Lepisosteus oculatus: one gene and its partner. The protein of the gene in region 1 binds, or shares a complex with, the protein of each later gene. Links are inferred from orthologs where the notes say so. Each region holds a gene or a part of one and is shown in the gene's direction. Other genes may lie near its edges. The genes, in order: srrt and ncbp2.

Region 1 (14,996 bases):
TGTGTACCAGTGGGAGAGGTAGTGTTGTGTTTGTGTGAGGCAGTGTTGTAGCAGTGCTGTCCTGAGGCTGGCTGGTATCAGGGTTGTTGTGTGAGGTTATGTTGCGTGTGCTGAGTTGTGTTGTGCGTAGTTAAGGTACTGTTGTGTGCTTTAGTGCTGTTTCTTTGAGATTTGTGTTGTGTAAGGGAGTGCTATGTTTGTGTGAGAGTGTTGTGTTATTTGTCTCATGTTTGTATAAGTAGCGTTGTGTGTTGTGTTTGTGTGAAGTAGTGTTTTTTTTTACATCGGCATCAGTCAGACCTCATGTGAAATAGCTTATCTAGGTTTGGACATAGTTAAAAAAAACTGTATCGCTGCTTTGGAATGACTCCAGAGAAGAGTGGCCACACGGTTTCCTTTAAATGATGATAATAATAGCCGGATATAATGGATTCGCCTCTCCAGCATCTTCAACAAAGATGGATTTTGTGCGCCCATCGCCGAGGGCAGAGAGTTTACCCACAACCCTCTCCTGTCAGGAAGTGCGGCTCTTGGCCCGCGTGCAGCCGCTTCCCCTCTCGCCTGCGCTGCCCGGCTCGCGGCCGGGGGGGCGCGCATTGTTCCAGCGCCGGAGCGCCGCGGTTGTTTATCCGGGCGGGCGCGCAGCCAGCTCCCGGAGGTCAGGCGCTCCGGACCCCGCTCCCATTGTGTGCGCCGAGAGGGGCAGCCCGGGGGGAGGCTGGGCGCTCGGGCCGGCGCTGATGGATGGGGTAGCGGGGTTAGAGGTGCGCCGGAGCCGGCGGGGTGAGCGGCAGCCGGCCGAGCCGGGGAGGGAGGTGCGGTACGGTGGAAACACACAGTAGAAATGTATGAATGGTCAGGGCCGCGGCAATTACAAGAGCAATGAACTCAACTCAGGGCGTGAATGGCAGCGGCACAGCGCCCTGCTTCGCCTCCTTCGGCAATCAACGCCTAAAACAACAGCTCTGTCGTGAAGGCGCCGATCCCGCCGTGACGTCAGATTGATCTGGCCCCACCGCGGGCTTACCCGTGCCTCCCCAGCAGCTGTGTGATCAGAAACCAGAGAGCCCGGGGCAGGGTTCCCCTGCAGTCGGGTATCTTTCACACTCGGGGCTGGCCGAGCGACCCGGAGGAACGGGTCCAGTACCGGTCCAAACGACCCGTTAGTGCCCGGGCTGTGAAGCCCGGCTGGACCGGGGCTGGAGCTGCTGGTCAAGAGTAGGAGCCTCGTCAGGGCCGGAGCTTCCTGTGCCAGTGGTGTGGAGGACTGCTGGAATATAATGATAATATTATTATTAATAATAACTATTTTATATAGCGCCTTTAAAGGTGGCTTCTCAAAGTGCTTTACAGAGCAACACAAACCACAAGAGACATACCTGTATACAGTGAGAGGAGACAGTAGATGGAGGTACTGAACAGAGCAGGAGTAGAGGGGTGAAGAAAGGAACCAGGTCAGTAAAGGCTCTTCTAAAGAAGAAGGTTTTGAGTCTGGATTTGAAGCAGTTTAGAGAAGGTGACTCTCTGATATCCTTGGGCAGAGAGTTCAAGAGTTTTGGGGGCATAACAGGACAAGGCCCTGTCACCTGTAGTGTGTAGACGGGCTTGGGGGACAGTAAGGAGACCAGAATTAGAGGAGCGAAGATTGTGAGGTGGGGAGTAGAGCAAAAATAGTTCAGACAGGTACTGAGGTGCCCAGCCATGCAGAGCCTTATAGGTGAGCAGGAGGATTTTGAAGTCTACACATAACCTGACAGGAAGCCAGTGCAGGGACTCCAGGACAGGAGTAATGTGATCACTTCCACTACACCTGGTCAGGGTTCTGACTGCTGAGATTTAGACATACTGGAGGTTGGTCAGTGTGGATTTAGAAACCCCAGCGAGTAGAGCATTACAGTAGTCAATTCGGGAGAAGACAATTGTGTTGATCAGCTTTTCAGCAGCAGTTAGCGGTAACATAGGATGTAGCCTGGCGATATGTACATAGTAAGTCAAACCGAACGGCTGTGGATTTGATTTTGTGGGCCAGTGCTGTTGTAAACAGAGCAAAGGTGATTCCCTCCTGTGCGCTAAATAAATCTAGAAATGATCTTATATTCAGCTGTAGATGGAAACACACTGGCGACGATGTCACTGTGACATCACTGGGTGATGTCATAGGTGATGCCGAGGGTGCCCCCTTCACCGGAGGCAGACCGGGCGAAGATGAGCATCCCGTCCAGTGCGCAGGAGGAGGAGGACCCCCTGAGTGGTCAGCCAAACCCTGCGGCCGAACGCTTGACCAGTTGACCGGTTGTCAGGGACTCGAACCAGGGGGACGTTACCAGGAGTCAGAGCACGTCCCAGATCCGGCCTGCTTTCAGTGAAACATTTATTTCAAAAACAACCAAGAAGACGGACAGAACAACAGAAGTTCCTGCCGGGGAGGAGTGCAGAGAGCCGTGGGCCCCAGGAGGCCCTCGTGCTGGACGTGAGGGACAAACATGGCCCAGAAATGTCATCTACCGTGGACGCCCAGCGTGAGTATTGTCCTTCGTTAACAACCAGACTGAAAGATCGTGTTAATGATCTCATTGAGCAGTGTAATGTGTAATAAGTTTAGCGAAAATATTATTTGATTACACGACGGGATACAGTTGACAGCGAAAACAGAAGGCGGTGAGGTTTGTCACACCCAGACAAGATCAATCTATCTCCAATGCCCTCGGGAACCGCGTGGTTTTGTAGAAGAACGAATGCAGATGTCCGCTCTCATTCCTTTGTGATATTTCCTGGACACGGGCTTCAGACATCTGCTCCCTGCGACTGTCGGAGAACTAAGGCTACTGCAAAAGCTGGAACTAATCATCTAGAGCTCTGCACTCCGAGATGTCTGGAATATGTCAAGATAAACATGCCCGACAGTTATCTTTGTATACACAGGAAGCTGTTAACTTTGTGAAACATAAATATTTAGAGGAATACGGGCTTATGTAGCTGTGTGCGTAGCACCGTGTGGTCTAAATAAATCTGTTCTTTAATAAATATGATTAAACAACATTTGTATTTCAATGAAGTCTTCTCCTTTGAACACTACATCGTCTTGGCGCCGAGGTCTGTAGCTCTCTGTAGGGTGAAGACGCAAAGTTTAAGACATTGGCTTCAGAACTTAGAGAGATTAACCGTAAGATTCCTGCAGGAAATTGCAATTGTCGATTCCGACGAGTAGAATTTAATGAGTGATAAAGCCTGCCGCTACACCAACGAGACTGCTGGTGCAACAATCGCGTTACGTCACAATAGTCGCGCTACTGTGCGTCGCAGTTGTAGTCGATGACGACAGATTACGTAATCACCGGGAACGGGGGAGGTGTCAGTGCAGTTAGCCGCACACGGGATCACTCAGCAGTTAATTAACAGCTGAGGATGCGCACCGGCAGGAGGCACGCCAGGCGGCATGCAAGGCCCAGACAGCGCCTGCTCAGAGAGATGGAGGCGAAGAGCTTTATTAAGCCCAGGTCCGGACGGAAGAGGAGAAGGCTGAGCCCGAAACCCCGAGTCCGGACTGCGGCCGCTCTGTGGGGACTCGGCAAGAGGCGGCGCCCCGTCACCACCGCCTAGCGCGGCTCTGCTCTGCGGGGGACTCTCCGCCAGAGGGCGCTGTGGCTCTCGCCATAACTGAGATCTCCGTTCATGTGGACACGACGCTCCGGTCTTAAACCCCGATAAAAAGTCTCTTGACTCACACCCTCAAGCGGTAGCTGGACGCGTCGTGCTTTCATTCCCAGCTCCCTGGGCTATCGCTCTCTCGCCGGGGGGGGAGGGCGGTGTGGTGATCTCTGTTCGCACACACACCTGCTGCTGTCGGTCTCCTCGTCGTGCGGGCATGCTCCGCGACTGTAGTCACAGCCACTGGAGAACCCGATTTCTGTGGCCAGTATCGGACAGATACTGGATCTAGCTCCCGCGACCATGCTTTGCCGGTGTAACAAGAGCAGTAGGAGGCGTGAACGCGTGTGGACCGGCCCGGGGGGTGCTGCTGTGTCCGAGAGAGGGGGAGAGGAGAGCCCAGATCCCTGGAGCGCTCCTGCCCTGAACACTGCAGCCCTGCAACCTGACCATCACAACGAAGGGCGGCGACAATCTCCCATTCATTACATGAGGTGAAGTAAATACTAGCATATACTAGTCATAACGATGGTTAGTGACGTAAGAGATTACGTTACACGTCACACCCCTCTAAAACTTTAAAAAGGGCACAGCGCCGCCTCTCGGACAGACCGCAGACATGGCCAAGAGGCGAAGACGAGCGTCCCGTCCAGTGCGCAGGAGGAGGCGAGTCAGGAGGTCCAGTGTGAAGCGCCAGAGGAGGAGGAGGAGGACCAGGAAGCACCATTGAAACAGCTGGAGCACGTCTGGCAGGAGCTGCCAGCTCAGCTGCACTGCCCCCTGCTGGCCGCTGGACTGGCCTCCCTCAATAAAGCTGCGCTATAGAACTGAAACATTGCTTGCACCGTATTTCTGTGACTGTACCAAGTGTACTGTAAGTGGAAAGCGCTGAATGAAACGCGTCGCTGTGCGTGTGACGTAGCCGTGTGGGTCACATGACGATCCGCTGCCCGGTAGAGCAGTACTCAATATCACACTTATACTACAGGCTCAGGGGTTTCTGGAACAGATCTCTACGCATGACATCAGAAAGGTGTGTTTATCCCCACGTTATTTAGTTGTAGGAAGTCCAATTAAAAACTGCCTTATGGGCCCAACCTGCCTTGAACATTAGGACATTAAAATTCAGTTACAGACAAGACAGAGTCATAGAAAACGCGAATAAGACGAGAAAATAATGTATAGATTAGTGGTTATTAACCTATTAAATAAAGGGGTTAGAAGATGGATCGATATAGCAGTATGGGAATAACATAAGCAGCGATTGGCAGTTTTTTCAATTTTTTGAAAAACGTTCTAGAATTCCGCAGACTAACCAACCGACAGAATACCGCTTGCTGTTATTATTGATGTTGTTGTGGTTTTCGCCCGGATGTCGACCGAGGGAGGGCAGCGCTCTCTCGGGAAGACGCTTCCCAGCAACACCGAGCGGATCCTGCGGGCCCGGAGGCCGGGGGGCCCGGAGCCGCCGGCCGACGGCGGTGTCGAGGAGGCCTGCGAGCGGCTGATGGCTGAACTGCGGGTGACCGTGCTGGAGGAGCACGGAGATGAGGTAGGCCCCCGCTTCAGCAAGAGCAGGCCTGCGCTGACCACGGCCGGCCGGCAGGGGGCGCCCTGACTCAGACGCGCTGTGCTGTTACCGCCGGTCATGACGCGTCGAGAGGATGTACGTTTTTATTTAAACATCAGAAATTCATCAACAGAAGAAAAATATTAAAACCGATACAGAAATAAACCCACTTCACAGCTATAAGAATTCACAATTATAAAAGCTGAAAATTAAGCTTTGTACATATTTCCACTGTATGTATTGCCTTTTTGATTCTTCAAATTTCTGATAGAATTTAAGCAAAAAAGAAATTCTACCTTAAAATCATTAATAGAGGGAGCAGTATTAGACCACTTACGTTTGTGGATTCACAGATTAATAATAAAAACATATATTTTATCCAAATCAGGTCTAACAAAATATAAAATAATTTCTAAATCTCTAAATGTAACATTTAGACATTAACAATATTTAACATTTAGTTTAACAATAACATATTGCTAATCTAGCCAAAACAAATTTGTATATACGCAATTCACAAAACAATTAACAAAATTTCCTTCTCATTATTACAAAATACACATTAGTCATCTTGTTCGTGTCAATCTAACAGAATAAAGTCTATGAACGATCTTAAATTATATTTAACTTTGTTTGTAAGACAGTATCTATCAGCAATTGTCCAAATTAATTTCCACTTTATATTCCAAAACATAGTATTCCAAAAAGAGAAACAAGAAGGTATAAAGCGCATAAGGCGTCGTTTCCCAAGACGTCCATTGCAGCGTGCGCAGTAGCACTGAGCTACATGAATAAAGTATTGGCTCTGATTATGAAAACTGGTAACTTGAGTTTTTATTTCCAAATGGTGCCCGTTGGCAACATCTTTTACCTCCGCTGTCTGGCTTCCGATGTAAAACCAGGGCATCATTTCACTCTCAGGAGCGAAACAAGAACCCGAGCCGCAACTGGTAAGTAAGGGGAAACACGAAAACAGAGAACAGAAAACACCTCTCTACACAAAGAGTTGTGGGTGTCTGGAACAGGCGGACGCGGAATAAGGAAACGTTGTATCTCTTTTTTTTTTACACACGGACAAATTGGCAAGTCCAGGAATTAGTCTTACGTAAAGAAATGTCGCTTAAGACGTCGTGTACAGAGTTTGGAAAGAAGACTTTAGAATCGTCGCCTGGACGTGAGGACGTGAGGTATTATAGGTGATTAAAAAAATACGAGCGACAGACCCTCGTCACGTGATAGGTGTGGGGCCCGAACCCTGGTCACGTGTGCCTTCGCTTCGCCTTCCTTTTCCGTTGGCATAGTTGCAGCTGTTCGGTGTGGGGCTGTTCGGAGTGGTTGAAATCGTACGCTTTTACGAAATATTACTTAACATCGTTAGTCAGTGTCACCGGGTTTCGGTTTTAAACTCAGAATCTTTTTTAAAAAATATTTATTCCGTCGTGTTTATTTCCTGGCGGGTATTGCTGAGTATTGCTTCAGTATGTCGGCGGTGCAGCGGATGAAAGTCGCTAACGAGAAGCATAGCAAGACCATCACCCAGCGGGGACACGTCCAGAAAACCACGGTACACTCCCCGCTACACACCGATACCGACACCACTCATCGATACACACGGATGCTGACACAGAAACTCGCCGCTATACATTGATACCGCTGCACGCAGTGCTGGAGAGCCCCGTACTGACTCGAGTGGGACTAGAGACCCATGTCCCCTGTACTGGCTGGACCCGTGCTGGAGACCCTGTACTGACTGGACTAGGGCTCTCTGGGCCCCTTTAGTTGATATCATCTGTGACGTGCTGTATAAGGTGATACTGCAGTCCAGCTGTGACATGCTGTTCTCCTCTCCCTGTGTTCCAGCGCACAGTCAATGAGGACCACTCTCCGGTGGGCCCTTGGCTTCTGGCGCTGTTCGTCTTCGTCGTGTGCGGCTCTGGTAGGTCTCTGATGCCAACGTGCTCTCTCATCCTAAAACCTCTGGCCCTCCCTCCCCCCCTCGCTCTCTGATGCTCTCTGACCTGCTCTCCTCTCTCTCTGACCCACCATCCTCTCTTTCATTCTCTGACCTGCCACCCTTTCTCTTAAATGCTCTCCGACTTGCTGTCCTCTCTCTCTCTGACGCTCTCTGACCCTCCTCATTCTGACCCTCCTCTCGTTCTATCCTCAGCCATCTTCCAGATCATCCAGAGTATTCGTCAGGGTGCATGAGAGCCGAGCCGCGCTGCGCTGCAGGAGGAGCTGTCTCTGGGAATGAGCACCTGCCAGAAGCTCCCTGCCCACCCCATCCCTCACTGTCCTGCTCCCCTCCTCTTCCTCCATTAAAGTCTGACCCTCTCAGAAGGCACCCCTGTGAGTAGGAAACTGCCCCAAGGCTCAGGTTCGATCTGGGGGTTTCAAATTCTGTTTGTTCTGAGCCTCATTTCACATCCTGGATCTTACCAAGTAGGGCTTCTCAATCCCACTTCTGGGTACCCCATATCCCACTGGTGTTTTTCACCTTTACTCCTGGTAGCTTAATGTGATCCCTTCACTACTGATCTGATCAACTAGATCTTTGTCATTTCTTCCCACTCTCCACATTCTCGCTGTTATTGAAAAATAAAAATCTCTTTTCACTGTTCCTGAACTGACAACAATTCAAAAACAAACAAAGGGCAAATACATTGTTACATCTGGGACTGGAGTAAGATCTCAGACGGACCTGCTAGACCCAGGTGTCAGACAGCGCTGGACTGGGAGGTCCTGCTCTAGAGCCAGCTGTATAGTCAAGAGTGGGGCCATGGGGACTGATGGAGTCCACCAGGGGGCGCTGCTTCAGGTCCGAGTGACCAGCAGGCAGTGGATACGGTGTGTACAGTACAACTGTAGGAAACTGTTCAGTGTCCACACTGTCTGTTCATGTCAGTCAGCTCCCTATGGCCCTGTCTGAGTGTGGACCCAGTCTCTCCACAGTGCCCAGTCCTCCCCACACGGGACAACTGACTCCGAGAGTCCCTTGTGTATACTGGTGATGAAGCGCCCCCTGATGTCCGCTGTCTGTCCATGGCAGTGTGTTTCTTATGTTCACCCCAGTCTTCGCTGTGCTATAAGAGCAGCTGACCCTGAGCACCCTTCATTTGATTTTTAACTTCCTTTCTTACTCACCTGCTCACTTTTATATTTCATTATCTCCCTGTTTTTTTGAGGGGGCTCTTCAGTTCAATTTGCCTTTTCTATCACTGTAAATAAATCCACTGTCCTCCTGAAATCCCCATGTCCCTTCCCTGCTGTGAAACCACCCTCCTACTACACCCACTCCACCTAGACCACTGCCTACTCTTCTACAGATGCTATGCAATGGTTTTATACAAATTAAAATATTTTCTCAAAAAACGTCTGTGCTGTGTTTTTTTGTATTTAAAAAATCAGCTGATCCTACTGCCAAACTGGACTATTCAGCCCTTGCTCTCCCGTCAGGCTCTGTGCAGAGCCCCAGGGTGAGTGATCTGACAGGGTGGGTTGTACTGAATGAATAGGCCCATGTATCTCATTTTCTCCTGAGAGACTGCAATATTTGTTGGTGGTCTTAAAATGGGCAATTTCCAATTGGGGGACCTGTCCCTGAATCTGGGCTGATGTCTACAGATGACAGACTGGAGAGCCTAGGGGACACTGGCAAGGTCTCGTTTCCCAAAGACTCAGGGGGGAATTGTGCGCTGCTGAAAAATAGAATTCTGGCCAGATTCAAAGCACACACTCTGCAAAGTTTTCCTTTGCATGAATGGAAAATATTTTTTATGACTGTCATGCCGTTTTTTTTTTCATTGAAGTCCTGAGTCACTGTAGCTGAATCATTATTCTGTGAATGCATCTGATTATCCTTGAAACATGTATAAAATCATTTTCTGTTCAATTTTAATTGTAGTAGCTTCAAGCATATCAAACACTGGTGCTGAGGCTTGTCGGGACTTCTAAGCGTGTGATTTAATATTGCACCTTTTTTCAGCCGTAAAGGCCATGCAGACCTCCGGGCGCTAGGGGGCGCTGTGGGCTGATGGTGCGGGCGAAGGGGAGGGGACCAAGACTTCGCTAGAGGCCACATCCGGGTCTTCTCTCGCGCTGTAGGCCCGCTGGAGGAGTGGGAGGAAGGATTGCGACGCGGTGGGAATTTAATTAATTAAGAAATTATCGCCTTTCTCTGGAGGTACGAAGGTTTTCCCGGGACTTAAGCCGAGCGGGTAAGTTATCGAAAAATAAGTCATGTTTTGTTTTATTGGGGGGTAAGTTAAGGCCTTGGGATCTACCGGTGAAGCCGCGGTCTGGGATGTTGACTCTGCAGGGGTAGATGAGCTCGGAGGCGGCGGTGGCTCTGGAAGCGGAGGCGGTGGAAACCAGTGTAAGATTCCGCGGGTGAAGGCGGCTTCTGTGCAGTTTGTCCGGGAAAAGAGGGCGAAACGCAGCTTGGACACTTCCAGTTTCTGAATGACCTGGAGGGAACGGCTCCCGTGAGAAGGCGCAGCGGGTGCAGAGAGCCCTCTGGGCCGTGTGTGTTCCTGCTGCAGCCGCCCGGGCTGCGAGACGGAAGAGGCCGCGGCATTGTACTCGTGGGCGCCGAAAGCAGCTCGATACGGACGGTGTTTCACGGTGCACGCAGTGTTGTTCGCGGTTAAGAGGAAGTTGATCGGGAAAGTGTCTCGGCGCGAGTGATCCCTGCGGCCGTCTTTTGTGGGGCAGCGGTGCGATTGAATGAATGAATGACGTGGGGCTTCGGCGTTTACTGACAGAGCCCGCGGTCGCCGAACCTACCGGGCTCTGCCCCCCGGTACCGGCCTGGGTTTTTTTTCCTCTGGTTTCTGTGCAACACTGGAAGGTTAGTGGGGGGCTCATTCGCTTCGCAGGGGGGACACTGAAGTTTTCAGGACCGCCATATTTCTTATGTGAAAGTTGACGGTACCGCAGGAAGTTTACAGGTGTGGGAGATGGGGGAGGAGAGGGAACACATTCATCCTGTCTTTGCTGTTTCTTGAAAGAGGGCGGGGACAGCTTGTTCCGGACCCCCACCACTCTTTGTGTAAAGCAGCGCCGCTTGTCCGCAGTCCCGAATTCGCTTCCTCGGTGGGGTTGGGGTAGTTTCGTTTGCCTGTTGTGAATTTCTCTTTCCGAGAGAGGGAGTCGTTTCGAGCATGACTACTCAGTGCGGGTTATGAGCGATTGGTCTTCACCTGTTTGTGGCCAGCACGGTGCACTTTAAAACCGAGAGGCTCGCGTAGCTGAAGCGGGCCGTGGGGAAGAGGTACAGGGCGCAGAGCGCTCACAGAGTGGAAGTTAAACCCCTGGAGACGGTTGTTTTAAGAGGCCAGAGTCTCATGACCTTAAGAGAGGCTGTGGGTGGGCAGGTTCTGGCTGGATCTCCTCTGTTTTTGGCAGAGATGTGAAACTTCACTGTGAGTTAGCCGGGAGCTGCGCGTTTGGGAGAGAGCCCAAACTGCGATCAAGCGGCTTGCTGATGTGTCCTGGAAAACAGTCCAAGTAGTTTTATTTGAGTGACTTGGACCAGAAGATGGCGCTGAGAGAGCAGTGTTTTGGGCTGCTGGAGTTACCCTGCGGCCTGGGCTCCGAGACTGTGACTGTACTGTATTCTGAACCGGGGGGTCTCCGGCCCTGTTTCTGGGGAACCCCAGTCCAGCATGTTTGTGGGTACACCATTGCCAGTTTCTAGTGACTTGGGGCGGAGCGGTGGCTCTGTGGCTCAGGATCTGTGCCTGTGGCTGGAAGGTTGCCGGTTCAAATCCCACAGCCGGCAGTGGAATCCTTCTCTGTTGGGCCCCTGAGCAAGGCCCTTAACCCCATCTGTTCCAGGGGCACTGTACAATGGCTGACCCTGCGCTCTGACCCCAAGCTCTCCCTGTCTGTGTCTCATGGAGAGCAAGCTCGGGTATGCAATAAAACAAATTCCTAATACAAGAAATTGTTAAGGGTTAATAATAATAATTATAATAATAATTGCTTACACTTATATAGCGCTTTTCTGGACACTCCACTCAAAGCGCTTTACAGGTAATGGGGACTCCCCTCCAGCACCACCAATGTGCAGCCCCACCTGGATGATGCGACGGCAGCCATAGTGCGCCAGAACGCTCACCACACATCAGCTATCAGTGGGGAGGAGAGCAGAGTAATGAAGCCAATTCATAGAGTGATGTTGATGTAGCCAATTCATGAGTGATGATTCATAGAGTTAATAAAGTGATGTTGTTGTTGTTGTTGTTGTTATTATTATTTGCGTGTGGCCAGTTAAGCAAGTGATTTGTTAAATTAAGTCCCCTTAAGAGTTTTGCTATTGAAGTATGACTTGCCTGGTTCATACCTGTTATAGATCTTTTTGGTCACCAGCTGCAGGGGGTCTCCCCACGAGCCCCGCCCCCTAGCCCTGCTGCGACCACTGTCGACGCGCAAGGCCCTTTGTTCGCATTCGTGTGTTTTGGCAGCTGTTGTGCACTTGGTGACGTCTTGACTGCCCCTTGCCTCATCCCGCCACTGTTTCGTCTCCCAGGCGCGTCGTCCGTGTGCGCTGTGCAGATCGGGCCGGGCAGGACGATGGCTGACAGCGATGACGAATACGACCGCCGGCGGCGCGACAAGTTCCGGCGTGAGCGGAGTGACTACGACCGGTCCCGGGAGAGGGAGGACCGGCGCCGGGACGACTGGAACGACAGGTCAGGGGTCACGGGGCGGGGGGGAGGGGTGCGCTGCCAGCCACAAAGGTCGTGGTCTCCGGGAAGCCTGAGACACCTGGATTCTGGAAGATAACTGTGGATCGATCGAACAGTTAGATCATCTCCACTTTCCTCTGCTTACCAGTCATTGATCCCAGGGAATCTGCTGCTACAAATATGCCTGGGCAGCTTGTTACAGGCACCCACCACTTTGTGTAAAGAGCCTCCTGTTACTAATGCTCAGTACACTTCTTGGTTTTCACCCGTGTCCTCTGGGCTGTGCTTTGTTGGTGATCCTGACTTGGTGTGTTAAAAAAACCTCCTGTCCTCTGCAGCCTTTGTTCTGTGTCAGTGTTTGCTATTGCCGATTCTTCACGGATCCCAAGGCTGCCTTGAATAGAAACAAGTGAGAGCACAATTGAGAAGACTGCTTTGCACAAAGGGCAGTAGGAGGCTGGAACAGGCAGCCCAGGCGTCTTCTTGAAGCTGTTGCTCTGTCGGATGGGTCAGGAGGTGTGTGAAGAGCAAGCAGAGTGTTTAACGTTGTGTTTTGGGGGAGGTGGGGGTACACAGCGCAGCCCTGAGTCTTGAACTGGGCGAGCCTGGGGCCTCTCCGGACTCCAGGGGGCCCGAGGCTGTCCCGAGTGTGCGCCAGGGCGAGCTCACGTGCTCCTCTCTCTCTCTCCTCGCAGGGAGTGGGACCGGGGCAGGGAGCGGCGGAGTCGTGGGGAGTACCGCGATTACGACCGGGGGCGCCGGGAGAGGTTCTCCCCGCCGCGGCACGACCTGAGCCCACAGCAGAAACGCATGAGGAGGGACTGGTGAGGCCGTTTCCTGCCACGTGACCCTGGTCTGTCTCTCTGTCTCTCTGTCTCTCTGTCTCTCTGTCTCTCTGTCTCTCTGTCTCTCTGTCTCTCTGTCTCTCTGTCTCTCTGTCTCTCTGTCTCTCTGTCTCTCTCCGTTCGTGTCGTGTGCAGTGGTGCCCAACGCTCTGCTCAGCGCTGCCTCTGTCTCTTTCAGGGACGACCACGGCGGAGACCCGTATCACGGTGGAGGGTATGACCTGCCGTATGGGGGCGGCGGGGGCCCCAGCTACGCCCCCCCCCAGCCCTGGGGACACCCCGATATCCACCTCATGCAGCCGCATCATGGCATTCCCATCCAGGCCAGGTGAGGGGGGCGGGCTCCTGCGCTGGGGGTGGGGTGGGGCAGGAAGGCCTGCTGGCGACTTGCGGGTGCAGCTCTAGGCAGCAGTTACTGCTCGTTGCACCCCTGAACCCCACTGCAGCTGCTGCAGGAAGAGGGGGCCGCTGAGGGGATCCCCAGTAACTCATCCCGTGCTTCTTTTTTATCCTGCCCTTGCGTGTCCTGTTTCTCCCCACCGATCCCCGTCATCCGGCAGGCTGGGCAACGTGCACGACCTGGAGCTGGGCCCCCCGGCGCCCGTCATGAAGAGCTTCAAGGAGTTCCTGCTGTCCCTGGACGACTCCGTGGACGAGACCGAGGCGGTCAAGCGCTATAACGACTACAAGCTGGACTTCCGCCGGCAGCAGATGCAGGACTTCTTCCTGGCGCACAAGGACGAAGAGTGGTAAGGCAGCGCACCTCACGCCGAGAGAGGCAGAGGCAGGGAACGGCAGTCGGCGAGCTGGGGGCCAAGACGGGCAGAGGGAGGGACGGGCAGGCAGCGCACAGCAGGCCGAGAAAGGCAGGGGGAGGAAACGGTAGTCGGCGCGCTGCGCTCCGAGACGGGCAGAGGGAGTGAACAGCAGACAGCGCACGTTGAGAGCCGCATAGAAAGGGAACACCGGATAGGGCACCGCAAGAAAGGCAGGGAGGGATTGATGGGCATCACATCACACACCAGAAGAGGCAGAGAGAGGGAACAGCATTTAGTGCACTGCACGCCGAGAGGAACGGAGGGAGGGAACAGCAGACATCACACCGCACCCCGAGAGAGCCGCGTGGAGGGGCAGGGAGAGCTGGAGAGGAGGCTGGGTAGTGAGCTGACGCACTCACACGTGTTCGTTTCTGTATTTGTGGGAAATTCCCATGGATTCTCATACTGTTCCTACTGAGAGGCAAGCACTCTGTACTAAATCTGGAGTGCCGGTATGTTGTTGACGGTGGGCTAGTCACTTCCACTATGGGGACGTGCCAGCAGCACCTGTCAGGAGTTAGCGTGCCGACTGAAGCCTGGGCCTCACGTGGCCAGCGAGGCGTGTTTTCTTGCACCGCACCCACACACGCGTTTGGGGTCACGCTAGGGGTTAGGGCTGGAGAATTAGGGGGGTTAGGATAGGATCTGAGGTAGAGGGTAAAGTTGAGTTTAGGGTCGGGATGCTGGAGAGATACCACTGTGTTTGAACAGCTGCAGGCCGCAGTCCCCTCCCCCCGCCCCTCCCCCCCGCAGAGTCTTAACGAGTCAAATTGAACCTCGTACCAGCAGCCGCCGAAGGTTCCAGCAACAAGACATCACCCGCATCATTCGACCAGGGAGTAACCATGCCTGTGTCAGGCCAGGGGGAGGGCCAGTACTTCGTACCTGCAGCTGTCTTAACAAAATAAACGAGGTGATCACTGTGTCAGTGTCCAGGATTGTGACTGTATATAATTCTTTTTAATTTTCATTTTTTCTTTTGTTCAAATTGACTGCAACCTCCCTTCTCCCCCTCCCCTCCCCTCCCTCCCTCCTTCCTTTCCTTCATCCTCCTCCTCCTCCTCCTCCTCCACAATCAAGGCTGTGGAAGATGCCAAACACACAGTCAGATCTGCAGGAGTCCTCGAGGGAGCCGGGCGTTCAGGCAGACAGGGCTGTCGCTGCGCACAATGCAGCGCTCTAGAAACCACAGTGCCAGGGCTTTTAGTCAGACAGGGCCGTTCGCCGCGTTTCTTTCCAAAACCAAACCCAGACCACAGAACCAAAGGTGCCCTCCTCCCTTCCCCATCAAAAAAAAAACAAAAAAACAAACAGACCCTATCTCTCCCACAACTCACAAAATTGGGCGAGCCTTGGAAAGTGTGATCGGCGCCGAGGGGCAGAAGCGCCCCTCTCTCAGTAAATGTGTGTTGTAAACACAAAG
Region 2 (14,824 bases), on another chromosome or scaffold:
TTTTCCAGTATTGCAGTATGAGTGAAGATCCAAACAAGCTAAAGTTAGATCCTGACTCACGCTGGCCACATGCCCTCAGGTCAGGTTAATTTGGTTTCAAAAATAAAAGTCGTTATGGGGACGGAAATTCGTGCTTCTCCATTCAAGTTCACTTCAACAGGTCGCCCACGGCCGCCATTAACTGTACAGTCAACCAGCCCTTTGCTCCTGAGATCATTTGTTTTGGATGATCAAAAAAGAAATAATTATCGGCATCAGTACCTCTTTTTAGTTTGTTTTTTTAATGTTTAAGAATATTGTGGAAACCATGTCATGAGAAAATAATCTGTGGCTCATCCAGATTACAATGCTCCTGGAGCAGCAGAAATGCTTTTGAGCCGTCTTTTTTTCTGCTTCAAAATGCCTCTTTTGCTAATCACACAGCCACTGTGTTTGTGTCTTTAAAGCTTTATTTCTCTTGTACCTGTTATACCATATGAATGAAGAAACACTAAGACGAGTCAAAATTAAATGGAACAATTATTTCAACACAAAAAGAAAGGAAACTGGAATTAAGTATTCCTTTATTTGGGAAAAGTGGGATCAGAAACACCACTCCAAGACAAGAGCCAGAAAGTCCCATTATTCTGTAATTGCTTTTTCGCTTCACGTCTCGGGTTCAAGCCTAAAGGCCTGTCAGGCTGGGATAACGTAGTTTTCCCTGCTCGAGGCTGAGAAGAGTCAGCTCTTGTAGCCTGTCAGTGTAAACTGAATTCTGCATCAAGTCTGTGCTGCATGGTCTGTCCACTTCGCTCTTTCCCCCAGACGAAGAGCAGTCGAGCTGCCTGCAGGTCCCAGTGCACAGGCAGGAGTGAAGCACAGACCACTAGACTTCAGAACACCTTCTGCCCTCGGACAGAGTGCATCATTACCGTTTAAGTGCACGATGCCTCAGACTCACCACAGCTCTGGGCTCTGCAGGGGTTGGTTGGGCCCTTGTTCTGTTCTGCCCCTTGCATGACGTCGGCTGTGATTGTCATTATTTACTACTGGCTGTTTTGTAAAGTACTGCGCACGTTGTGTGGTGTTGTCCTTCGCACAGTGCTGTGCACATCCCGAGAGAACAGCGCGAGTCAGTGTCCCAGTGAAATCGCACGGATGGCCGGTACACTCCTCTCTCTCTCTCTCTCTCTCTCTCTCTCTCTCTCTCTCTCTCTCTCTCTCTCTCTCTCTCTCTCTCTCTCTCTCTCTCTCTCTCTCTCTCTCCGCCATGTGGTTGCAGACGACACCCAGGGCAGCTCCTACTACGCAGTGGCAGTGGTCAAGAAGTCCAGCCTGGACGCCTTCAACTTCAACGAGCTGAAGGGCAGGAGGAGCTGCCACACGGGCTACGGGAGGACGGCGGGCTGGAACGTCCCAGTCGGAGTCCTCATGGAGAAAGGGATGATCCGGCCGCGGGGCTGCCAGTTCGCCCAAGGTAACGGGCCTGTCCCGTCACGGCGAGGGCAGGGAGGGGGCAGGGAGCTGACCGATGGGAAGTGGGATTTATAGGCCTGAGGCAGGAAACCCCCTGACTGTAGAGCATGAACACAGCAGGCCCCCCCGGGGCCACAGGGTTTGAGTCTGTTCTGGAAACCCACAGACAGTAATCCACGCGCGTGCCCTCTCCCTCTCAGCTGCGGGGGAGTTCTTCCGTTCCAGCTGTGTTCCCGGAGCCAATCAGCCCGGCTACCCTCCCAGCCTGTGCCAGCTGTGCGTCGGGGACGTCTCCGGGCAACACAAATGTGATCGCAGCGACCTGGAGCGTTACTATGGATACAGCGGCGCCTTCAGGTAGGCACCGAATGCATCCGTTGAAGTGAGTGAATGAATTCACCTTTATTGCCCCTAGGGGAATTTGTCTTTCCCCATCAAGAGCTCATAAGCATATAACATACATGACAATAATACAGTATAACAACAATGAAACACCATAGTACAATTAAACACTCAGCAAGAAAGAAGAGCCAGCACAGTCCTGGGATGAACACTCTGATTCACGTGTACTTTGTGTTCATTTTCATGAATTAAATAAGATCAACACCTTTTGATCACCACTGGAAACACCAGTGCCAATAATTGACAATTATTACTCAGCACGTACCAGAAGTCTGGACCCATGGGGAAAATTAATGTACTCTTCATTAATTTATTGTGTAATTGATTGCTGTTAACACATACATATTAATTCCTATACAAATGTTTTTCTTGAACTTTTTTTAAGATGGAAACTCTTTCCCAATGATCTCTTTCTCTGCTGCAGTGCTGTTTGATTTTGGGCTGTTGACCACTCATCTCAGGTGTCTCACAGGGAGATGTTCAGTGGGGCTAGGTCCTCTGGATTGAGACTTCTGATTCAGCCTCTGTATTGGTCATTTGAGGAATGAACTGTCGTGGTGCAAGGTCTCATCCTGTCTTGCAAGGAAGGATGAGTTTTAAATACGTCACAGGAAACCTAAAATGGGTCAGGAGGGTGTGGAAGCGTCTGTGCTGAACCCGAGCGTGGGATTGTTCTGGGACAAGCGTGAGATCGGTGGTGCGCTCTGCTGCTGCCGATGCCGTCTTCGTGCCAGCGAGTGTGAGAGTTCATTCTCACCAGACAGGTTTCATGAAGGCTTTGCCCTCACCAGGGCCCCTGCAGTGATGCTGCCGCCATTATAGACGTCCCAAAGTGCCTCCTTGGTTCTGTTGCAGGTGTTTATCAGAAAGCGCTGGAGAGGTGGCCTTCGTGAAGCACACCACGGTCTTCGACAACACTGACGGTATGTCCCGGAGAATCAGACCACGCATGGACGTGCCTCAAACAAAGCCATCAGTCGTTAGGAATGCCTAAATAATCCTTTCCCAGCATTCCCGTGGGGCCCTGCGTGTCCCAGCCCAAACCATGAGCGCTGACACGTGCCCACGGTTCGCAGCTGCTTCTAGAAAGACACCTGCGTGCAACACTGCTGCACATTGGTACCACAGTGCACAGCGGTCCAGGCAGAGCAGCTCTGTGAAAGTAGGACAACTAGTGAAGTAAATGAAACACAGGCTCTCCAGATCGAGTGCCGTCCACCAGAGTCCCTGGTCTCCATCAAGTCGGCGTGTGGCTCACGGCAAACGCGCCTCCTGTGCCCCTCCTGTCCGGCAGGTCACAACACTGATCTCTGGGCCGTCAACCTGCAGTCGAGGGACTTCCAGCTGCTGTGTCCCAATGGGGCTCGCGCGGAGGTCTCGCAGTACGCGCGCTGTAACCTGGCTCGCGTGCCTGCCCACGCCGTCATGGTGCGCCCCGACACGGACGCCAACGCGGTGTACGGACTCCTCGACAGAGCCCAGGTGAGACATGGCTGCCCGGAGCCCCCCTCCCTCCCGGCCTCGTGAACCAGCTGAGCTTCGTGGCGCCCAGGGCTGGGCGAGCCGCGGTTTTAGTCATCGTGCAGGAAAGGCCCCGTCTCCAGTTCTGCACGCCTGAGTCTGTCCGGAGTGAATCCGCCTCCTGCTGACGGGACTGACCGGCAAGGCTCTGTGCGGATCGTGTTCCGTTAACGATCAGCCTTTCACTTGCAGGCCATCTTTGGGGATGACAACAATCCGAACGGATTCAAGATGTTCGATTCCTCTGCCTTTGGAGGTACGGATCTGATTTTCAAGGATTCCACAGTCCGCCTGATAGGAGTCGGAGAGAAAAGGACCTACACGGACTGGCTGGGCCAGAGCTACATGGACGCCATGAATGTGATGGAATGCAACTCTGCAGGTATGAACGATCCGATGCCCTACTGTGCTGCCAGTGCTTGCCTTGGCCTGCATCTGTACGAAGGCCGAAGTTCTTTCATGAGCTCGATTGATTGAGCAAGAACAGGAGAGGATGATGAGTTGCGTGGTTTCCAGTTGCCCTGTAATTTTTATGTCTTAGCCAGGAATATAATTTCCTTTTTTTAATGCATGAAATTAGAATCATTTTTACAACCGTGATCAAAGCTCTGCAGTTGATGAGAGAGAAGCTTTACTGGAAGGGTAGTAAATTGAGGCTTTTCTCTGGCCGAAGCCCGGCAAATGACCAGGTTGGAAGATGGAGCTGTTCATGTGCTCTAACCCCTCTCTGTTTGTTTGCCAGGAGCGGTCTCCTCAGTGTCCACGGTGCTTGTAGTGGGACTCGGCTTCCTCTTGATCATCTTCAACATATAAACCTACTTTCCTGGGAAGACAGTGACAAAGAAACACCACGTCTCACTGATTCTTGGACAATTTTTAAGAATCGTTATTCAGTGATTCAGATAGCAAATTTGCAGGGATTTTAGGGTCCTATTTTTCAATGTGCCAAATGTTTTTTTTTCTCTCAATTTGTAGCTGGGCTGGACACTCCACCCCCAGTCCAAATCGTCTCGAATGTTTAAATCCAGGGATTCTCGTGCCTCAGGTGTGTTGATCACCCTGAGGGAAGGAGGTGGCAGGTTTTGGGAAAGAGGGTCTGTCCACAATCATTAATCCCCCTCCTACCTCTCCAGTCCTTCCACAGTGCCACAGGAAGCTCCAGGCAGGCAGGTCCCATGCTGGTGCATGTTGCCTGGCTGTGATCCTTAGCATCTGAAGGCAGTTGCCATATCAGTGCATATGCTTTGCCTGTTACATCTGGAGCCTCTTTGTCAAGCTCCTGCAGACTTATATCATATCCTACAGATGTGTAGTCATATTTAAAAACTTTGTCCTTTGTTGTCTAAAGGCAGTTGCCATATCAGTGCATATGCATTGCCTGTTACATAATCTTATCTTCTTGGGGTGCTCTCTGTGTCTTGGAATGTGCTGGGACCTGCACTTTTCTGTCTCGCCTTGATAAACTAACGCCAAGCCAGCAACGAAGCAGCAACGAAGCAACAGGGCCGTGCTGCTTAAATTCACACTTGTTTCTTTCTGCAGACACAGGCAGGAGGGCGACAGCCTGTGCTGTTTTCTGCATGTACCTGCCGTGTCAGTGTGTTCCCCCCAAACCTCAGAAAGAACGCTGTTAAACACACGCTTAATGGCAACAGTGATTTGCTCAGTGCAGAACTAAGATTAAACTAATTTAGACCTGGGTGTCTGGAATGTGGAGTGTAAATTCCTATGAGCAGAGCAGCTGAGGAAGACTTTGCTTATTGTTTTGGGAGGTCACAGACGTGAGGCAGAAAATGTCTCTCTTAGCTTTCAAATGTGATTTACTTAGTTGCCTATTTCTACAAAGCAGAATCACAGCTTCCCAGTGAACTAATACCTGAAGGTCAGATTGATAGGAATTCTGTCTCTCTACCTTCACAGCTATGAGAGCATGACACAGCATCCATTACTCCATACCTACTGCTTGATTGAGACCGCTGGTAACTTTGGGAAGATCATGCCAGTTTAAAAAGTAGTACTTTGCATGTTTCTCTGTCAGGAAATCACTTCAGCTGGCATCACCGTAAAACCCATGTGTTTTAATTTCTGGAATGATCAAAGACATGGAAAGTCCGAGTTCTCTGCTGCACAATGCCTTCATAATAATTCTGAGCTTTTACTGACCAAGTCTGTACTATAATCAGGTGTAGTATTCCCTCTAGGCTGCATTATTGTCCTTTCAGTATGGCATTTCTTTCCAAAATGTTTTCTGCAGAGTTTCTTTGTGTATTATTGAACAAAGATTTATTTTTATAAGGTGCTCAGATACCATATCAGTGTATATGTACTGACTCCCTGTTCTTTGAATATTATTGCTTGCTTCAAAGGTCATATTGATTTCTTCAATGAAATATTGTATTGTAACTAATATTTAGTTGCCAGGCCAGTGCGTCTGCTTAAGTATAGGTACATAAAGCTTTGATTAAAAACCACACTATGATTCATAAATAAACTGAGACCTCATTCACCCGAGTGCAGTCGTGAAATCTTTTCCAGGCGGATGTAACTTTGAACCTAATAACGTGAAAGCTTACCTCAGATAAAACAGAACAGATAAGATAAAACAGGATACAAAGCTGTTTGCACTTCCTAGACAATAATAATGTGCACCAATGTAGCCTTAGAAGCCTGAAGATCACTAAATGATGTTTAGGTGAAATTTAACAATATACTGCAGTCACGAGTGTACAGGAGCTGACAGTGCTTTTCCCTCCTGTTATCAAGGGTTGTGACGGCAAAAACAAATAGAAGCTGCACCAGAAAAATATAATAAGTGATGAAGCCAGCAGAGATTAAGCACAGAGGTTCTACACATTAATAAAGCCAACATTTCTATGAGATGTGTTATAAAGAATAGAGAAGAGTATACATGCATTTACTATAGTAAAAGCTTTGGTTAGGACTGAAGCAACTTATCTACGGAAAGTAATAGTAATACACTTTATTTTATATAGCACCTTCTCAAAGCGCTTTACAGAACTTCGGTTCTGTTTCGGCCTCGGTATTGCCTGTCTGTCTAGGGAGAAGTGGCAGTCTTCCAGCAAACACTACGGTGTCGGGGTCCGAAAACAGGACTCGGGTAGTTTTTTTCCAGACTCCCGGCCATCTTGTGGCGAAGTAGGAGAACTACAATGGGTTTGGATAAAACGGAGCAAGAAAAGTTAGGAACACCGCATTATTTATTCCCCTTTTCAAGTCCCAGACACTGAGTTTGGTGGGCTCTGTGGGTATATATTTAATTTTTAAAAAAATGAAGGTGGTTTATGTACTTTGGCTCGACAAATAACCAACCCCCTTAAAAAAAAAACATATGTCGGATGGAAACTTGTACACTTTCCTCTGCCGACAGTAGCGACCAGTCCATGAAAGTCGTACACAGTTGACTGACAAGAGCTGCAGTCCATAAAAACAAGGCAAATACTTCATGAAAACACTCTTTTCAATTTAATCTTCTCATCTACATTACACACCAGACCCGATACAGTGTTTATCAATGAAAGTTAAAATGAACAATATGCATATCTTACATAACGGGATTGCTTCTTTCGACGTTCTGTGGCATTGTGTTTACAGTTTACGACAAGGTGCGGGTTATTTATTTTTTTTAATTGCGTTGATTTGTAACGTTCACAGACTCGCAAAAATACGTCTCGGATATTTTTCATCCTAGCCGTCAAAACGGGAGTTTGGACCCGTGAGCTGAACAGAAAGTCGTCGTCTTCATTACTTTCCCCGCAGTGTCGCCTCCATAATTCAAATACCGCTTAATTACAGTGTGGAAAACGACACATCTCCCGGTGGTAAAACGACATGGATTTCAGCAGCTACTGAGATAATTACAGGTCAATTCAGAAGTCCACGGTTCCGCAAGCCCTCACTGTTTGTCCTTGTTTTTGAGCTGTCGGGAGGCGTCCCTCACGCCTTCCTTGACCTCTCTGACGAACATCTGCCCCAGTCTCCCGACTCTCCTTCCCAGTTCGCCCACGTCCCTCGGCATCCTCCCGGCCGTCTCCTCTCGCACCTGGCGGACGGTGTCCGACTTGAGCAGCCTGGACGCCGCGTCCCTGCCGCTGATCTGCGCCTTGGTGATGGCGTAGGCCGTGATCTGCGCCGCCCGGCGGATAGGGCGAGACTCGGAGAGCTTCTCGATCACTTGCGCGTTGTTCAACAGGGTGAACAGCAGGCGCCTCAAAACCATCTTCAAGCCAGGGATCCGGGGACCTGCAGACGACGAGAGCCAACGGAAAAGACGGTTAATAAATTTGTTGCGCGGCGTTATACTCACAAATAAATTGAAAGCAGTTTCAATGTTCCTACCAGAAAGATCTGCCGGCTGAAAAGCTCTGATTTCCGGTCTTGCACCGCAACCGTCCCCCTGTTGAAGCTGCTAATAAGGTATCGGATTCTACTGAGTAATGCTTTATGTGATTAACGAAAACAACTGAAAATGAAATAAACTTGAAGAAGGGACGTCCTTTATTATTATTCAATGATTGCATTTATTAGTGCGATCGAAATCTAAACACTTAAAAGCAGCATTTAAATAGCTGCTGGTAACCCTCGTGAAAGCCTACAGTAACTCTGTGTTCTCACAATCGTACATTTTGTCTTCTCTCTTATTGTGGTTATATTAATATAAAAACAAATAAACAGTAAAACAATATAAGAAAATTGAGAGCTGTATGGTCACCGATACGGGCCGCCCTTGTTTCCGCACGGTCGCCCTTACTGTACGGACCGGAAGCTTTATTTGATTGGCTCTCCCGCACCGGAAGGCGGCGTTCTGGGAGTCTTGCTGTTTGTGTGGGTGCCCTGTTGGTTTGTTTCTGTGTGGATTTTGTTACAGTTCTTTTACGATGTCTATTCAATTAAACGCACTCCTCAGCGACTCTTACGTCGATATAAGCCAGTACAGAGACCAACATTTCAAGGTAAGGTGAAAAAACTTTAGTATTACTCTTAACGTTGTGCGTTTTTGTTAGGAAAACAGGATTTAACACGCCGAAGCAGGAACACAGATGCAAGGCGTAAACAGGTTCTGGTAATTAGGTGTATTAAAAGTTAGTTTGATTTGCACCTCAGTCGTGTTCAGAGTTGTGTTTCGGACGCTACCCGGCCGTGGTATCGAGCAGAGATGAAAGTACCGTTCGTTAGGTAAGTTTAAGAAAGGTTGCGGTAGCGAGATGGAGGGAACGACAAACAGTGTGAAGTGGAACTTTGTCTCCAGGGTAATCGCCACGAACAGGAACGGCTCCTGCGGGCGAGCAACACCCTCTACGTGGGAAACCTGTCCTTTTACACGACGGAGGAGCAGGTGTATGAGCTGTTCTCGAAGAGCGGCGACGTGAAGAGAATCATCATGGGTCTGGACAAGGTGAAGAAGACCGCTTGTGGCTTCTGCTTCGTCGAGTATCCTTTTGCACAGAACAGTCGCGATTGCTGACCTGTCTTTCGGCTTTTTGGATATTGGTAATTCTGGAGTTGTAACTCCTTTTTAATGCAGCTATCCGGTGCATGTATATTTATTGTACAGAATTGATATACTAGATGGAATATTTATTTAAATGTTCTGACTGTATATTTATAGAGTAGTGACGCGTCTTAAACGTTTTACATTTTTAATGTTTTATACAATCTGACGTGCAACACAGAGACTTCTTACTTGAGAGCAATATCCCAGGAGTTAAATGGCACGGTGGAGTCTTCTGTAGTGTTACTGTTATCTGCACCCTTTGCGCCTTCACGGCATGCTGTTGTAATTCACTGTGGGTAAAGGCGTCTGCCAGGCGAAGAAATGTAATGTAATGTTTTCAGTGTCACGGAGAAGGGAGGATCGAGAGGGGGGTGCAGGAGGTTCACCTCGCTGTGCCTGGGCCGCCGTAGCAAGGAAATCCAAGGCCTGTCTCCCTCCCTCTTCCCGAGATAGGCAATTTGTCACATTTTGTACGTTTTCGTTTGCTGCAACGCCTTGACCCCCCCAATGCAAGGTACTACACCCGTGGGGACGCGGAGAACGCCATGCGGTACATCAACGGCACCAGGCTGGACGACCGGATCATCAGAACGGACTGGGACGCGGGCTTTAAAGAAGGCAGGCAGTATGGCCGTGGGAAGTCAGGTGGCCAGGTGCGCTTGCTTGCTTGCCCAACGTTGTATTTGTCATTAGAAACAGCAACGACAACAAAAACCATTAGAAAAGTTAGAAATGAGCAAATCTGTTATTCTGTGTTTCTTAAAGTTTTTACAGTGTTTTTTTATGTTAATGCACGTTCAAGCTGTTTGGCTTCAAGTCTGTTCAGTGCGTTGCAACTGCTGGATCTCAGCCACGGCTCGGTTCACCAGGGGCTCGCGCAGTGTGATGGGAGGCCAGTGCTGTCTGTGAAGAAGCACATTTCTTTTCTCCGACGGAGATAAATACAGACAGGGTTATGATCCAGCCGGGGGTGGGCTATGGAAAAGCAGTTAAAAAATTGTAATAAGGTATTTTTTTCTTTTTCTTTCAGGTCAGAGATGAATACAGGCAAGATTATGACCCTGCTCGAGGTGGATATGGAAAATTGGCTCAGCTCCAAAGAACACCAGACGCCCCGCACAAATTCTAGTTTTCTGTAGAGAATTTACAATTGGGTGGTATTTGAGTACATTTAGGTAATGAAAGATAAAGTTGATCTTTTATCACCTTTTTATTAAATGTTTTACCAAATTAAGATAACTTGACTGAAGTACATCATGCTTTTCGTACATTTTGAAAATCACAAATAAGCAGGAGAAGCTGGTTAAGGCATCTGCCATTTTGGCCAGTTTTGCCTTAAGGCTTATTTTTCCAATCCAGTTTCATTTGTAACTATGAGCGTTTCTGTTGGATCTGTATACTATGTATAACATTTATGGAAACATTAAATATTTTCAATTTTGTGTTTAAAATCTTTTTTTAACATTGGTATTGGTATTCAGTAACAATGTGTGCACCATTTGCTCTACTGTTTAAAATGAAATGCAAAAATTAGATGAAAGGAGCATGTTTAGAAGTATTTTATATTTGCTTTCCCTTGGTGTAAAAAAGGCATCACACATTTCTTGGAAAGGAAAACTTTGTTAATGGAAAATTTTGGAATTAATGATATTAGTTCATTCAGATTCTAATTTTACCCTACACACATTCCTTGACCGCTAAACAATCAAAAATCTGATAAATGTAAGTTAAAAGTCCTGGATGTACTTTCTCATTTAAAGGACAAGCATTTTTAAAATTGCTCTAGTTTTTTCCTCAGCTTAAGTGCTTTCCTAAAAGTATTAAAAGTACTGCTCATGTATGTCATGGTCTTTAGGTAAAACCTGATGTTACTTTCAGAACATTAACATGTCATTATACCCTGAAATTTAGGGACCTGAAGACCATTATTTTGTCAGTGGGTTTTGCTTTTGATTGTCATTTGTATTTCTGCAATTTTTTTTCCATTTTCTCCATGTCTCGGAATGTTCTCTGAGCTTTCCTCCACCCTCCAACGACATGTTGACTAGTTGAATTGCAGATTGCAGATTTCTGGATTGTCTTGTGTGCCAGACCGGTGTCTCAGTGATGGACACTTTGTCTCTCTCTTGGGGGTTTCAGTCCTGTAGTTTGGTCTTCAAGTCTGGTGTTCCTCCAGCTTGATACTGCCCCCCCCTCTAGTCAGCATTTAAATATTTCCAATTGTGCAGATATTATTAATATTGATATTAATATTCAGAGTGCATTCAAGTCAAGCTTCTTCAGCAAGGCTTTAATTTAAGTGGCATCTGGCTGCATTTGCTCATTGCATCTACTGTTTCTAGTCCCTTATGGTCATTTTTTCTTCTTAGATCTTTAATTTATTTTTCCCTTTTCGTAAAAGGCACTTTGAGGAGCTACTTTTAAAGGCCCGATATACATTTATGACATTGTCCTATCCAGGATGTAGTCCCACCTTGACCCTTTTTTCTAGGTGGATGGGGGGAAAGTTATGCCTTGATACCAAGTTCATCTACAGTGCCTCCTATGTCTAATCCAGTTTTTAGCATTCTTTAGTTAGTGCAATACAAAAGTATCCTCTTATACTAATAACCTGAGTTGCTAAGGTTTCTTCATACTGTATATCATGTCCTTCAAGTGCTGGCAGCAGCTTACGGAGCGGCCATTGAACAGATTTGACTCAACACGTTTTTGAAAGGGCTTTCGGTTTGAATACACTGTACTGGTGCAAAAAGAACACACGAAAACTCAGATCTAGAACTGGATTTAATTGACTATTTAAAACAAATGCCAAACAAAAAAAAAATCACAGAAAATGTGAACAGAAATACAAAGCGGTAGTTTTCAATATGAAACATGACAGTTTTAAACGAAAGCAGTATAAAGGTGGTATGACCTTCCTGAGCAGCAGCACTGTCGTATGGACCCCTCCAGCCTCCCACCAGACTGCTGTGGGATGTTGCACATTGTCCTCTGCAGCTGTAGCCAGCTGGCTCCTTGTCACAGCACTGGCAAGCCGCTCCCACAGAGACACTAACGAGAGCCTGAAATCGGCATATAAATCTGGCCGTGGCAAGACAACATTGTTTTCTTGGAGTCCTTGCACTGTGTGGGCTTGCATCGTCATGCTGGAAGACCAACGCTTCCAGACTGGCTTCCCTGGTAAAGAAAAACTGAGGGCTGAAAAGAATCCAGCAGAGGATGACTGAGCAATGAGGTCATCAGTCTGCACAAGACGCACACTTGTGTTACTCAATCCCACCTCATCACACTTGCAGGGCCCCCTGCTGGAGACAACAAACGCGGCAATAACGAACGTATGATTGCCACCAAATTCCAGGCATGCCTATGGAAAGCCTTTTGCTGCCACAGTAAAATAAAGGTTGACTTGACCAGACAGATGCAACATGCCAGATGTTGGGCCAGAATCTCTCCTAGTCCTCACAGAGATGGTTTCTCATTTTCACCTAATTGTTGAAGCAGAACCTCATTCTCCACGTAACATTTAGCAGGAAGTCTGCCTTCAATCATGATAATAGGAACCAAGCAATCTAGAATTTCCAAGCTGCTCAAGTTGACATGGTCATCTAATTTACTGTGCCCGTGATCAATTGGTTTAATAGATTCTTATTCATTTTGGTCTTTTTGTCTTTCATGAACAACAACGATTTCAGTTGAGCATTTGTGTTAGCCCCAAGCAACAACGCCAATCAATCACTTAACGGATCTGCTCACTATTTAAAGTGTAAATGTTTGGGCTCAAAAAGAATTTGACGAACAATGTACACTGCTGCACTTTTATTGTGTATCAGTATTTTGTCACTGCTGCTCTGGAACTATAAACATACATTTAATCCCATGAGTTATACACAAAAACTGTGCCAGACCCACAATTAAACTGTTGCTAAACACTGAACAGATGTTTACATTTAAAAGAAGTTAATACTCTGTTAGGCTACAACAAATATTTTAAGCAGAAATGTTAAGAATGCAAGGAACACTGCGTAAACTGGACATCACTACTAAATTAATCTATAAGAAGCAACTACAATCAGACCTAAAAAAGTCATTTTTATTGTTACACCTCAAGTACTCTTTACAACAAGTTATAATTTTCTTTCTTACAAGCTGTACAAATCGCACAATGAAAACTGTAAACAGTGCTTCAGAATCTAACTCGCAAACAGAACACCTGGTTAAAAACGCACCAGAGCTACGACTGAAACGTCTCCTGTATGTGTTGCACAACACTCCTGTACTGAATAGCTTTGTTCAGAACTAATCATAAGGCAGTAGTAACATAAACCTAGGTACTCCTTTAAGGTTCAGTAGAATTATTACATTGCAAGGAGTACTGCTTTAAATAAGTATTTAAAGAAGTAATTCGACTGCAATACTGAGCTCTTCTTCAGTCTGACAAGTAAAACCATTAAATGGTATTCTATGTTTTTGAATCCAGGTCAATCTTGTTTTCTTTATCCGCTGTTATATGGTCAGACAAGACTTAAGATTATTACTCAGTACATCAATCAGTATTTTTTTCTTGGTTCTGTCATCAAGAGGCAGGTAATGCAAAAATAAATAGATTCTAGTTAAAAACAATCCACATTTTCCTAATGAATTACATTCTATAAGATGTTTAGTCATATATCTTTTTAACATGAATATGTTCTCTTTCTATATATGTAGAAAGATAAAGCTATTTTACTGTTTTCATACAAACAACACATCTGATCATTTCTGAATATGTTTAACTGGGCTAAAAAAACTGAGGTGAGAATTACCAAACTAAAACTGAGATTTCAGTGTTCCCATTTCTACTTTTAAATGACCACATGCGAAAGGTGTAAAAAAAAAAAGCTGGGTTGGGAGACAGTAAAAGCCATGCACTTACTCATTATACAGAAGTCACTGCACAGAAAAATCTTCACTGATCCACTCTCAGGTTTTATTTAAAGGAAAACACTGCCCAGAAAGAACATCGTTTGGCATGTGTTTTAGCTAACAGCCAACAATGAAACATTCTTCCCCAACAATCAAGCAATGTGGTCCACACAGAGTAGTTTTGTGGTCTCTCAGAGTCTGACAATGTACATGCAGTATCAATAATTTACCTCATCAAGTTTGCAAGACCTGAACGTTAATCGCTGTTAATTCTTCTGCAAGGAAACTACACTACCTGTTAAACTTGCATAATACCTATAAAAAAAAAACCTTTCAAGTTTCTTAGGACTTGATATAGCTTACGTACTCTAAAGGAGTAAAGAACTGATAAAATAACAGAAATTTGGTTATAGTTCTTAAAATGACCAAAGCAGCAGAGCCTTGAGAACAGTTTCAGCCGTTGGTTTAAAAGTGCACGAAATTCCAAATGTTCACATGGCATCAGCACACGAAAGGGGCACACAGCTGACACAGGAAAATGCTTGTAAAAGACTGTAAACTTTCAGCAATTTAATGCGAGGTAACATAAAATTTCACTGTACCAGAGAGTTCCAGATCACAATGCTGTGCTGTTTAACTGGAGATACACAAACTGCACTTGGTTCCTGACAGTTACTCCCAAGCCGGAAGCAAGTCAAAATCACAGGAGTCCCATTTAAGCCCTTCAGTGTGCAACCTGTGTTTTCTGCAGTGTCGACACAGCAAGCACATCATCGCCAGCGTTCAGTAGAATGAAACCACTTCTGCATCAGTTCAGCGCATCTTCGAACATGAGCGCCACAGAACTGTTATTAAATGACATCACGTTTAACAAAGCAGTCTACACAACACGCAGCTTGATCTCCCCATGTCACGAATCGCCCGCCGAAAATAACGGTCAAGTTCAGGTGGTCCTTTTCAAAAGAGTAGGAACAGTGAAAAGAAAAGTGTGGCGGCTCCGTCCTCCACAATTCCAAATCAGTCTATTAGCCT

What was found.
Region 2: the proteins of srrt (region 1) and ncbp2 are in contact, whole or in part, in a cryo-EM structure (PDB 8PMP), measured with the Homo sapiens proteins. The link is inferred for Lepisosteus oculatus from reciprocal best matches to the Homo sapiens genes SRRT and NCBP2. Residues at the interface, in NP_056992.4 of Homo sapiens: Asp857, Arg859, Ala860, Ile861, Val862, Glu863, Tyr864, Arg865, Ala869, Asp874; in NP_031388.2 of Homo sapiens: Ser48, Phe49, Tyr50, Thr51, Thr52, Glu53, Gln55, Lys67, Met71, Leu73, Met76, Lys77, Lys78, Thr79, Ala80, Tyr89, Asp107, Glu121.

Annotation. Positions count from the first base shown.
Region 1 is NC_090698.1:10,690,193-10,705,188, reverse strand, and holds the start of srrt (serrate RNA effector molecule homolog), read left to right. Parts: upstream 1-9,279; 5' UTR 9,280-9,435; intron 9,436-11,750; 5' UTR 11,751-11,794; coding exon 11,795-11,913; intron 11,914-12,605; coding exon 12,606-12,734; intron 12,735-12,933; coding exon 12,934-13,083; intron 13,084-13,315; coding exon 13,316-13,504; intron 13,505-14,996. Other genes in the region: uncharacterized protein, read left to right, coding at 5,021-5,200, 7,079-7,154, 7,386-7,426. UniProt on the Homo sapiens protein: Acts as a mediator between the cap-binding complex (CBC) and the primary microRNAs (miRNAs) processing machinery during cell proliferation.
Region 2 is NC_090708.1:2,219,192-2,234,015, forward strand, and holds ncbp2 (nuclear cap-binding protein subunit 2), read left to right. Parts: upstream 1-7,920; 5' UTR 7,921-8,273; coding exon 8,274-8,348; intron 8,349-8,644; coding exon 8,645-8,826; intron 8,827-9,404; coding exon 9,405-9,543; intron 9,544-9,920; coding exon 9,921-10,019; 3' UTR 10,020-10,341; downstream 10,342-14,824. Other genes in the region: meltf (melanotransferrin), read left to right, coding at 1,262-1,456, 1,656-1,812, 2,713-2,780, 3,152-3,339, 3,571-3,760, 4,121-4,191; protein NCBP2AS2-like, read right to left, coding at 7,292-7,615; senp5 (sentrin-specific protease 5), read right to left, coding at 14,810-14,824. UniProt on the Homo sapiens protein: Component of the cap-binding complex (CBC), which binds co-transcriptionally to the 5' cap of pre-mRNAs and is involved in various processes such as pre-mRNA splicing, translation regulation, nonsense-mediated mRNA decay, RNA-mediated gene silencing (RNAi) by microRNAs (miRNAs) and mRNA export.